Linked DNA regions of Bombyx mori. The main gene of each other region encodes a partner of the protein of the gene in region 3 in a complex. Links are inferred from orthologs where the notes say so. Each region holds a gene or a part of one and is shown on either strand. Other genes may lie near its edges. The genes, in order: E3 SUMO-protein ligase NSE2, EP300-interacting inhibitor of differentiation 3 and structural maintenance of chromosomes protein 5.

Region 1 (4,170 bases), on a different chromosome or scaffold from region 3:
CAATGTACTGCGTTCACCGTGTATCAATACAATCGCGTTTTAAAAAAAACTTCCAATCTTACCTTTTATACGGCACTTAACATATAATAGTTGAGTAGGAAATAAATACCTTTATGGAGACTTATTTACAACGATCATATTTGAGAAATCAGTAAAATGTTTTAAAGTGATGCGTATATTTATGTATCTTATTATCCAAGCAAATATACAATTTGGTTAAACTTTCTTTTATGGTCCGTCGATTTTTGGGTCGGGGTGGGAGGGGGGTAAGGGTTTACCCCTGCACCATTCCCACCCCGCGGAACCCCATGGTTATGAAGATATTCACGGTTAATGTTTTGAGGTTAGAATAGCACTATTTAGTCAAAATAGGGTTAAAATTTAGATGAGGGTCCATTAATTTTTGAGTCGGGAGGGAGGGAAGTAAGGCCTAACCCCTGCACCATCCCCACTCCGCGGAACTCCATGGTTATGAAGATATCCACGGTTAATGTTTTGAGGTTAAAAATAGCACTATTTAGTCAACATAGAGTTAAAATTTCAATTATGGTCCATTATTTTTGATTCGAGGAAGGAGGGGTGTAGAGCTTACTACTGCGCCGTCACCAAGCCGCAGATCCCCATGGTTAATTTTTTTGATAAAAATTGCATTATTTAGTCAAACTCGAAGGGAGCTTAAGTTTGAATCCGTCTTATCTCGGGCGCTGCGGGAAGAGCAATCCTTCCGCCCTTGCGTGCCGAAGCACGGTCACTCGTGCTCTGCTCCGCACTGTTTCCGTGCTCCGTCACAGCAGGCGAGGACTGCTCTCCCTCCGCGCCTCCGGTATTTTTAAAAACACTCTAGGGGTAGGGCAGACAAGACCAAGTGGAAAGTCGGGTGCTCTGATTCGGTTTTCGATATTTTTCGAATATTTATGCAATTTTATTACCAAAACACGAGCAATTTTACTATTTTTTATTTAATAGTAATAAATAAAAAATTGTAAAAAAAAATATTTAATAAAAATAATAAAAAAATTATTTAATTATAATATGTATTTAAAAATATATTTTATTACAGACAGATAAAAAGACGCTATAAAAAAATGCGTCATTTCACGTTCCGTTCCACAGTGTAAACAAAATTTTGTTACTTTTTGTGTAAAAACGTCAATATAATTGCTTCTTACAGCAACAATTGCTGTGCACACTAATTATAAACAAATTTACTATGTGAATATATTAAAATAATAAAATAAAAATAAGATAATAATATATTTCGGTAAAAACATGACATCAAATTTTATAAAATACACGTTTACCGTGAACGGAACGTAAAACGTCAACTATGACTTGACGATTTTTCTAATTTATATGGAAACTTTAAAAATTGTTAACTCGTAAACCGTACTTCTACCGTCTTCGCAACTTAAAATTTTGCAAAAAGTTTTTTATTTAGGAGCACTATATACAAAAAAATTGTGAACTTCGAAATCGACGGACCACAAAGGAAAGCTTAGCCTAAATTAATTACAATCTGAGGTAGGCAAAGAATCTGTACTACCTGTTGGTGGGATATTGCCTCCGGACCCGGCAGACTCCGAACATGTTCAGTGTATATAATCTCTGCTCCGAACTACTGGGGTATCTCGATACACTAGCGGCACCGCCTCGGCGGCCTTATTGGCAACCGTACTCAGGTGATTAGTGTTTCAGAACCTTTATTTCGCCTCGAAGACTCCGTTGGACGGGAGTCCTTGGGGTAAGGTGCGTCTGGTTGCAGTGTTAACGCGGTAACCTCATGACCTGGCCCTGGTTCTGACCTCGAAGGGGATAAGACGCTTGGAAGAAAGTGTTGGGGAGTCGCTTAGTGGGTAGGGCCCTAAATACCATCATTGGGCCCGAGCCCACTCACACAAACAAGCCTCTTTCAATTTCCGAACGATAATATGGCTAACAAAAAAAATCATGAATTTGAAATTAGAATACAAATAGTGTATGTGCTATGCTTCCTTTGCCTAGGCAATCCCTAATAAAGAAAAAAGCGTATTCTTTCATAAAATTTTATTGTTATGACATTTGAAAATTTGAAATTATGGCTGATATAGACATTCGAGATCTGAGAAAGCAGTGTATTCAAAGCTTAATCTCGACTGCGGAAAATGTCGCTAAATATTTGCAAGAGGACAAGGAAGACAATTATGAAAAACTTAAGATGTACATGGAAAACTACTGCTTATTGGAAATAGAACAAGAAGTTGCTGAGCAGGTTTTAGAGGCAGCAAAGGTTTGTTGAAAAAGTACGATTTTATCGTTTTCAATTTAAGTAAATTCTATGTAACAACAAAGCTAATAATAAAAAAAAAAACTAGTTGTGTGTAATATATACATAATATTTCAAAATATTCAACACGTTTGCAACATTTTTTCTGAAACAGAACATAGTATAACATAGAACAGCATAGCGCAATTAATTCGTTTGTACATATAAATAACGATAATGTTTTTAGCGAATCATTATTACTTCATTAGCGGAAAAACATAGGGCAATCTTTTACATTTTTTATAAAATACTAAGAAATTAAGAATCTAAAAATTCTTCGTTTAAATTCTAGGCAGATACTAACATATCAAACATAAATACACTCCAAGAAAGATTCGAGGATGGCCTGAAAACTCTTTCACAGAACAGAATTAATCCTAACAGCCATAGATACATGCAAGAATTAAAGACTAGATATGAAAGTGGATTACAAAGTGTATCTTCATCAGGACGTGAGTATTGGATCTAAATATAGTTTAATATGATATTACTGGGTAACCAACTATTCAGTATTATGAGTAGTGAAACTCCATTCAACTTTCAAACAATACCAAAATATGAAAATAAACTACCAATCAGTATTGACATGAATTGAATTCTGTTTTTCTTAAATGGAAGTTCATCTTTATAATAGAATGAGTAGGTAATTAATTTCCATTTTTTATTTGTAACTAGGGAATTGTTACTACTATAAGATTATTTATAAATATATTGTAATTCAGGATAGGCTTAAAACAACTATTTCCTTAACACAAACAAATAATTGTTTTTTTATCTCGCCATTGTAGGCATATGGGCCATGGTTACCATCACTCATGATCGTAAGCAATACCAGGGGCACAGCCAAGATACTGCCAAGCTGCAACTGCTGAATACTCTATGCACACATCATTTGAGAGGGATATGACATAAGCACTCAGGAATGCTGAAGAATGCTGCGAAATCGGGGACTTGCTGCATTGACTGACTTTAATGTTAATATTATTTTTTATTTCTTTCTTTTGATAATCAGCTCTGCTAACTTTCTGAATATATTCAGGAAAAAATTGCACCTTGCCAATGTGTAAAATTAATATAAAACACTTTAGTTACAGAAAACCTGAATGAATCTGATATAGCTATTGTCCAAACAAATGAGCAGTTTGTAAGTATTATTCCAATATAATTGTATTATTTTAATAGGTATAATTTGATGATATTGATTTGTAAAGAAATAAATAACCTGTATATACACTCACCTATATAACAACCATAAAGCTTGTACAGTAATTACTCAAAGTTCATTCAGATGTGAAAAATATCTCAGAAAATGAGATTCTCGAACCTCTATAAAAGCTTCTTTTAGTCTATCTGAAACTTCAGTTTTATTTTTAATATGTAAAAGTTTCCACTAGATTTTAAAATTTTAAAATTTTCGATTTTCAGCTAGATCCAATTACCAAAAAACATATATCAGATCCAGTGAAGAATACAATGTGTGGCCATGTGTATGAAAGAGAGACTATTTTGAATCTCATAAGAAGGAAGCATAGAATCAGATGTCCAGGTAATTCTTCATTTGTTATAATTATCTCATCAGTCTAGTGATCGGTGATTCGAAATATTGTATTCTACAGTTCAGGTTCAGTCGTTGATTAGGTGATTGAAAATAAACTTACTTTTGCTTACAACCACCACTATTTAATTTTACAATTTTACTTTGCAGTTGCGGGATGTGCCAATCCAGAAAGCATTCAAGAAAACCATCTATTGGAAGATGAAGAATTGAGATTTAGATTATCATTGTCGCAACACTCGACCATGATACATTAAGTTCATTTAATAATATAATAAATGTGAATTGACAAAAAAGGGTATTTGTTTATTTT
Region 2 (4,440 bases), on a different chromosome or scaffold from region 3:
TTTTGATTTGATTTGATTTACAGCGGGTTCACTGTATTGTTGTTCGGAAGTTGTATAATATATGCAAGCTTATCTTGAAAGTGTCGTAAGCAAGAATCAGGCATCTGTCAAATATCTTGGCTACCGATACAGACGGTTCTAAACTTGAATTGTATTATTACAATATGAAGACAAGGAGAAAGGGGGGATAGAGGTAGTATTTTTTATGGATTTAATTATGTAGTTTCATCATTTACTTCAATAGATTAAATATCAAATACATCCTAGTCATCATTGGCTATTAGAAACAGCATTAGACAGCTAACCAAAGATTTGTCTGGAGTGTTATAATATATTGAAGCCGCTTGGCTTGCAAATGTTAAGGCTTAGATAATGCTGATAAATCTTTGTTTAGGGAGCCATATATTACAAACCAAGAGACTGAAGGTTAGCTAATATTCTTTTAATAATTTTGTAACAAGGCAACGCAAAGCAGGTGTATTTGTTTTGATTTCCGTTTAAAAGAATATACATTAATTAAAGTTGAGTAAAATGCTTAGGCTGTTATTCCCTTTTTGGCTTCAGAAACAGTTCCCTTCTACTTAATTTAACACTATTAATGCTATAGAAATGTGACGGTGAAGAAATAACATCGTGTAATAAAAATCAAACCCGCAAAATTATAATTTGCGTAATTACTGGTGGTAGGACCTCTTAAAAGTCCGCGTGGGTAGGTACCGCCACCCTGCCCATTTCTGCCGTGAAGCAGTAATCCGTTTCGGTTTGAAGGTTGCCTGAGCCTTTGTAACTATACTTGAGACCTTAGAACTTATATCTCAAGGTGGGTGGCGTATTTACGTTATAGATGTCTACGAGCTCCAGTAACCACTTTACGCCAGGTGGGCTGTGAGCTCGTACACCCATCTAAGCAATAAATAAATAAAAAATGTAGAATGTACAATATCTTGAATTACTAGAAAATACTGTCATATAAATTTAACTTAATATTTAACTCACAATGTGCTGTGCTAATTGGTTCTTGTCATATAAATGCATGTTCACATCAACTGTCTCGAGGCACATCTTCGCTAGGTTCGAAGATGCGTGGAGGACCCGAGCGTCCAGCAATCCCTCACCTGCAGAATAATAGACTCAGAACTATTCTGGAAACTGAGCAGCTTGCAGAATTTTGTTGATCTTTCTTACTTTCACTACTCGAGTTGTACTAGGTAAGTTAATTTTGATTGTAATCTCACAGGACACAAGTCCCGCTTGATTTATGTCAGACATAATTAGTCTCAGTATAGTGTATTAATATACAGTTTATAACTTATCAAATTTAACTGATTTTATCTCCTTTAAAACTTAGTGAGTTATCAATGAAATGTGCTAAAAAGATCTAATGTCATGGCTTCATTAACATGAGTAGATATACTGACATATAGGAGTTTGCTTATAGGATGCAGAGACATCTTAAGAGCACTGCACTTTGTCCCAGTCTATAGATCCCGGCAGACACACATTTTTTTTTCCTACCTAAGCTGAGAGCCTTGAGAGGCTATATCAGCGTAGCTTTAACTAGTAGGTGAGCTCACGGGGCTCAAACCTGATGACGTTGCTAACACGAACCCTAGCAAGTATCGTGCTTCGCAGAATCTACCACCGAATGAGAAACGCAACCCACTGAGAAGATCCGGCAAGAAACTCCGTGGGCTGTGTCTGAGGGTTAATTTACTCGTCGAGCCCTTCGTCACAAGCGACGAGTTCGACGAGAGTGATGACCGGTGCTTGAGGTACCTAGAAGCACCATTAGTGGATCGGGACGATCCGAAATGACGTGTTTGGGGCGACGTCGACTGCTTTCCATGTCTGCAGAATCGGGAATCTGTCCACAGGATCGGGAATGTGAAGACACAAAAATAGGCATGTGTACCACTCGATACATCTTAGAAAATTAAATATTGAACATATCATACCAGGATGTTTGCTGCGATGGTCAACACCTCCTTCCTGGACCAGTTGCTTTGCCTCTTTCACAACTTTGTGTGTAACATCTAGACATTCTTGATTGCTCGCATTTTGATCTTCTGTTTGAACATAAATAAAAGATTTTAAGTTAAGGTATATTATTATATATCTGAAAAAAAACTGCAATGCTAATTATGAAATATTGTAATCTTTAAAAGAGTTTCAGATCAGCCATGTTGGTATGACATCAGTCTGGTTCCCTGTGGATTAGAATTAGTAGCAGAAAAAAGATGATTTGAAGTTAAATCTTGCGTGGTATGCTGAAGAAGGCTATAAAACATTCCAAAGGACAGAAATATTAAATTAAAAATATTTATTAGGTAATTAATAAATTATCACAAAATTCTGAGGGCAGGCGTATTCCCTTAGCTTTCGATTTTCAAATATATAAATGTACAGGTTGGATTGTCCAGTCTGTACATTACTGTAAGATAATTATCTCCCTGCTTCATTACTTATTTTGAGGAAGCGATTATGAATATTTAGTGTGTGTTATTTACAGTTTTATTTAATACCCAGGTCCCAAAAAGTTTTTAAAGCCCACAATTCTATAGAAGTTCGGCACTAAATGTAACACTTACTTGTACACTTGCCGAGGTTATTTGTAAAATAAATATTCGTATCTTACCTAGAGCAGTTACAGTTTCGTACATACTAATGTACTTGCTTTTCCGCTGAGATGAGTTTAATTCCGCGGTACTCATTATTACGAACTTTATTAAAGAAAATGTACCTACTTTATTTATAATTATTTAGGGGTAGATATGAATTGCAGTTAATAAGCTTAGGTTACTGATTCAATAACGTCGTATGCACAGAATGAGAATAATATTACTTTGAGCGAAGGTAGTATGTAATGTACAATTAATACTTTTTAAATTCGTGATTGTTTAAAACAATAGAATAACTTCAACATTCAACTTTCAAATTCATTTGTTGGGATTTTATGACCTGGTAACTAGGACCTTTAGGTCATGTCATATTTTATTTTATATTCTTAATTTTATAAAAATGCTAATATAGAGTGAAATTAAATGAAATAAATGAAAATGATTAATTTGAGACATTAATGAACTGGAATGAAATGAAATGAGATGAGATGGCATGGGATGGTGTAATTAATGAATAATGGGTAAAATGGTGGTCATTTACCGAGGATTTTTCAGTGGACTTTTTGGAGGATTCTGAGAAGCTACGTCCAATGGGTTTGTTTCATTTTCCCACATTTGTGCACTTTCACAGATATTAAACAGTTAATAAACCACCGCTATTACACATTTAAACCCGAAGAAACACTAAATAGAGAAAATAAAACAACACACAACTTCACTCCTCGCGTTCCCGCCAAAAAGTTCTTTCAAATTCAAATACAGTCCATGGCATAATTAATATATTAATTTAAGAGTCCATGCCTCCATGGTTCGTTTTCGCAGTTGACAAGATTAATCTACTTTTTGGCGGGAGAACAATTGGTTTCTTGGGTGATTATTTGTTGCCAAGATTGAGTTTGTAAAAATCTTCAGCTATAACATTTTGTGGAGGGTAGATGTAAAGTACACCATCCCAGTATTAAAAAGTGTCCGCTGAACGGAAGCTAATTGAGATAGCGCCGTAGTAGCAAGTGGATCGATTAAAAACAGCGTCATAAATTATGAATAATTATTATAGTAGGATTATTATTAATATTATTAAGGAAAGAAACACTTCCTACGTAAATAGTGATAAAAATATTGAAGTGAAATTTTAAATACTGCACAATTTTTATCTAACTACACAAGTCACGAAAAATATAAAATTTTTAGCCCAGCTCACTTTACTCTGCTTAAAATTGCTATATACATATAATTTCCATTTTCTACCTAAAGCGCTATATTGGTTTCGGTTCGGTAGTTTGCTGTTTACACTTGGGTACACTTTTTCAACTTTTTTTTAATCGATGTTCATTCCAAACTCCTTACACAGAAATCCTTTAGAAACAGTTTCAATTATTCGATTCCTACAATTAGGTATATACATATCGCCCTTAGATCATTGAAATGTTTAATCCAAAATTATCGTTTTTTTGTAAACTCCAATTTAATGTAATGGAAGAAGAAAGAAGATTTCAATATTTGAAGGTATGCGCTTGACTTAAAAGCGACGGAAGGGTTACTTTGTCTTATTATTCTGGACTAAAACAGACTGTTTAATTTTATAAATCGATAGAATACATGTTTATAAGGCGTTCGAAGTATAAAACTCATTTTTAATTAAGCTACTTAAATTCTAAAGGTGCGATTTGTTTTAATAATATAGATACCTACCGTTTATCAAATAGATCGTTATCCGAAATTCTAAAAAAAAAAAGGTACTATTCGTCCAGGTCCATCAATATTGTGTGATTATGACATTGAAGCTTTAAGTATTTACCATCGCTTTGCCTGTTACTACGAA
Region 3 (3,654 bases):
CAAACTGAAGAACGACAGAACTAGCCTCATTGAGAAATTTGGCGACGGTGAGTTCACTAGACACATGGTCCATGGTCTAGAACTGAGGCGAGAAAGTCACTAAATCAACACAAACCACATTCCTTTTTTTTCTCTTATCTTTAAGATATGAAACTTGGAGAAAATTTAAAAACAAAAGTTCGTAAGAAAATTATTTTGTATGCTATGTGATACAGTTTCCATAATGTGGCAGCTGCTATATATAACAGCTAAGGTTTGAAACTTATGAAACAAGGGAGGTTGAGGAACTCAGTGTGCGTAGTGCTAGATTTTTAATGTTTTCGATAGTGTAAAAGCTAACTCAAAATTGTATGGAGTTGGAACGTTTGCAGCTACCAAACGTTTCTGACATATCAAATACTGTTGCAGTTCAGTTTTGGTCACATATGAGTAAGGTGTGTTATTCATCTAAAAACTAAATAATAATAATAACTAGCTTGTGAACTGACCATATAACTACAGTAAGAATACGTCAAATTAAACCATAAAAAATGGTAATTATGGCTTTGCTGAAGTTTTTACAAAAGCAACTTATCCGGGCCTTGACATGTTTCAGAGAAAATAGCAAGTGAGAAAGCAAGAGCGCTGAGGGAACGTATAAGCGAGATCCAATCACAAATCCACAGCATTCAGAGGAGCAAAGCCAGGAAGGAGATGGAATATGAACAGCAGACTCTACCCAACCTTAGGATATTGAAAAACAAGTGAGCTTATTTAGTTTGCAATGAAAGTTCTAGCCGACCGCCGCGAGACGGGGCCTGGCTGACCTGTGTACATAATAACAACAAAACGATGATGAAATGCGTACATAATATTGTTTCGCGCTGGGGTTCGGGGTTAATAAAAGCTCTACCAAAGTACAACTTAAAACTGTATTTATCACTTAAAACACTCACAAAGCACTTTAAAATTCTTAATTCACTTCTTCCGCTTCGCTTCAGGTGATCCGTTAGCTGTTTCGCATTGAGTAGTTCTGATTATTAAGTGACTGACTGCGTGCCATCTCTGCAACGCTTTTATAGTCGATACGACATCCCTAGATTTATCGAGAACATTCTGGGCAAGTCGAGTAGCTTCGATGTGTGTTTCCACTATCTGACAACAGATGGCATTGTACTTCTCGAGCTTTCTCAGCGTTACTAGTGCTTTTGATGTTCGTTTCGGCTATTCGGCGATAGATGCCTTTACTCTTACCGGCGTAATAATATGTGTTATATATGTTAATTTTGGACTTTCGTCGTTACCCGTTGTCCTGAATTTCAGATTAAGGAAATTAGAAGACGTCGAGACGAAGCGTTTAGAGACTTTGAAAGAATACAGCGAGGACACCTACAAGGCGCTGGAATGGCTCAACGAGAACAAGGAGTTGTTCCATGACCAGGTCTACGGGCCCATGATGCTCGAGGTAATGGAAATACTTCTCCAAATACTGGACTGAAATTTACTTGTGGTAGGACCTCTTGTGAGTCCGCACTGTTAGGTACCGCCACTCCGCCTATTTCTGCCATGAAGTAGTAATGCGTTTCGGTTTGAAGGGTGGGTCAGCTGTTGTAATTATAGACCTTAGAACTTATATTTCAAGGTGGGTAGCGCATTTACGTTGTAGCTGTATAAGGCCTCCAGTAACCACTTAACACCAGGTGGGCCGTATGCTCGTATGCCTACAAGGAAATAACGAAATCGTTTTCCGTCAGCTGAAATTCACGCATCCGGAGACCGCCCGCTACCTCGAGTCGACGGTCTCCAGCAAGGACCTGGTCGCCTTCACGTTCCAGTCCAGCCGCGACATGAACCTCTTCCTGCAGAGGGTCCGCGAGGAGCTGCAGCTGCGCGCCGTCAGCGCCCTCTGCAGCCGCGCCGGGGACTTCAGCGCGCCCCACCACGACATCAGGGAACTCAGGTACGGCTAAGGACCAGTCCTTTTTTTTATTGCCTACATGTGTGGACGAGCTTACAGCCCATCTGGTGTTAAGTGGGTGTTGGAGCCCATAGACATTGTACAAGGTAAATGCGCTACCCACATTGAGATATAAGTTCTAACTAAACTAAGACCTTAGAACTCATCTCAAGGTGGGTGGCACATTTATGTTTCGCGATTCCGATCCGGTAGTAGATTCATTCGCGAAGCAGCTGCTCTTGAGTTGTTAGATCTCCTTCGGAGGCGCTCGGGCAGCTGTTAGCAAATCCCACTCCCCCTGGCTGAGCCTTTGCTCGCCCACCTGTTCTGGTGAAACTGGAAAGGCCGCCGGGTCACCAAAAAAATGTCTATGGGCTCCAGTGACCACTTAACATCAGTTAGGCTATGAGCTCGTCCACCCATCTAAACAATAAAACCTCGGAGGATATTAAACGTCCCTTTGAAGGTTTTAGTTCGCGTTCTGTAGTGAGTGGTTACGTTGCAGCTACCTCGGGTTCCAGAGGACCTTGGTGGAGGGCATAGCGGCGCCGGGCCCGGTGCTGCGGTACCTGTGCGAGCAGTACCAAGTCCACAGGATCCCCATCGGGAACGACCACACGTACCACCACAGCGAGAACGTGCCGGATCACGTCACGCTGTTTTTTACAAGTGAGTTTTTTTTTAATACGCTTTTATTAGATTCAGACGTATGTATGTTTGTATGTAACGGAATCTTTGAATATTATTTTGAGACTCTTCCAAAACGTCGGATTAACTCGAGATTTGGTATACTTGATAAGGATCGATGACAATTCAATTTTTAAAAAAAAATATTGAAAAAATTGAAATTCAACTAAAAAATGAAAATAGTGTAAGAAAAAATGATTTTATTGTAAAAAAAACCGTGGAGTGCATGGTATCAGTAGTTATAAATACTTTATGCACAGATATGAGTAGAAAGGTTATTTTGATAATATCCTGAGAAACACCCCACGCTTTATATTATATATCGTGATTTCTAATTATATTTACACATATGAATAAAATTGGAGTGTTTGTTTGTAATATTGAAATAACCGCTTTTTACTACATGCATATAAATATATATACGGTACATACACCAAAATAGTATTTTTACAATTTTTGTCTGTCTGTCTGTCTGTTCCGGCTAATCTCTGGAACGGCTGGACCGATTTTGACGAGACTTTCACTGACGTTGTTGTGTAACTTAGGCTACTTTTTTTAGACTGACTTCGCCCCGCGGCTTCACCCGCGGTACGACAATAGCCCCGGGTAACATCGCGGGACTCAACTATCTATAATAAACTTTAATGTTTCCGAAGCGAAGCAAGGGCGGGTCGCTAGTGTATATATATATATATACGTGTTGCAGCGCGGCACCGGTTCAGCGTGCGCGTGTCGCAGTACAGCGGCGCGCGCGCCAGCACGGTGGGCGAGGTGCGGCCGCCGCGCCTGCTTGCCAACGCGCGCGACGCCGACCTCATCCGCACCTGCGCGCTACAGTCAGTGCACAACATATATAGCCTTCTTTATTTTCCTACCTAATCTGATGGCCTTAAGTGACTATTTCAACATAACCTTTAACTCTCTATTCCAATTACAAAGTCCCTTTTAACACTTCTTATTACTGATGATAGGACCTCTTGTGAGTCCGCACCACCACCCTGCCGTGAAGCAGTAATGCGTTTCGGTTTGAA

What was found.
Region 1: structural maintenance of chromosomes protein 5 (region 3) and E3 SUMO-protein ligase NSE2 share a complex: the UniProt entries of both Homo sapiens proteins name them as parts of the SMC5-SMC6 complex. The link is inferred for Bombyx mori from reciprocal best matches to the Homo sapiens genes SMC5 and NSMCE2.
Region 2: structural maintenance of chromosomes protein 5 (region 3) and EP300-interacting inhibitor of differentiation 3 share a complex: the UniProt entries of both Homo sapiens proteins name them as parts of the SMC5-SMC6 complex. The link is inferred for Bombyx mori from reciprocal best matches to the Homo sapiens genes SMC5 and EID3.

The regions. Positions count from the first base shown.
Region 1 is NC_085128.1:13,903,209-13,907,378, reverse strand, and holds E3 SUMO-protein ligase NSE2, read left to right. Parts: upstream 1-1,341; 5' UTR 1,342-2,074; coding exon 2,075-2,266; intron 2,267-2,594; coding exon 2,595-2,754; intron 2,755-3,390; coding exon 3,391-3,446; intron 3,447-3,727; coding exon 3,728-3,848; intron 3,849-4,007; coding exon 4,008-4,114; 3' UTR 4,115-4,158; downstream 4,159-4,170. UniProt on the Homo sapiens protein: E3 SUMO-protein ligase component of the SMC5-SMC6 complex, a complex involved in DNA double-strand break repair by homologous recombination. Is not be required for the stability of the complex.
Region 2 is NC_085130.1:15,844,708-15,849,147, forward strand, and holds the start of EP300-interacting inhibitor of differentiation 3, read right to left. Parts: upstream 2,939-4,440; 5' UTR 2,712-2,938; coding exon 2,636-2,711; intron 2,067-2,635; coding exon 1,956-2,066; intron 1,116-1,955; coding exon 997-1,115; intron 1-996. UniProt on the Homo sapiens protein: Tissue-specific component of the SMC5-SMC6 complex, a complex involved in repair of DNA double-strand breaks by homologous recombination.
Region 3 is NC_085134.1:7,478,166-7,481,819, forward strand, and holds part of structural maintenance of chromosomes protein 5, read left to right. Parts: coding exon 1-47; intron 48-595; coding exon 596-743; intron 744-1,302; coding exon 1,303-1,444; intron 1,445-1,733; coding exon 1,734-1,939; intron 1,940-2,441; coding exon 2,442-2,605; intron 2,606-3,329; coding exon 3,330-3,459; intron 3,460-3,654. UniProt on the Homo sapiens protein: Core component of the SMC5-SMC6 complex, a complex involved in repair of DNA double-strand breaks by homologous recombination.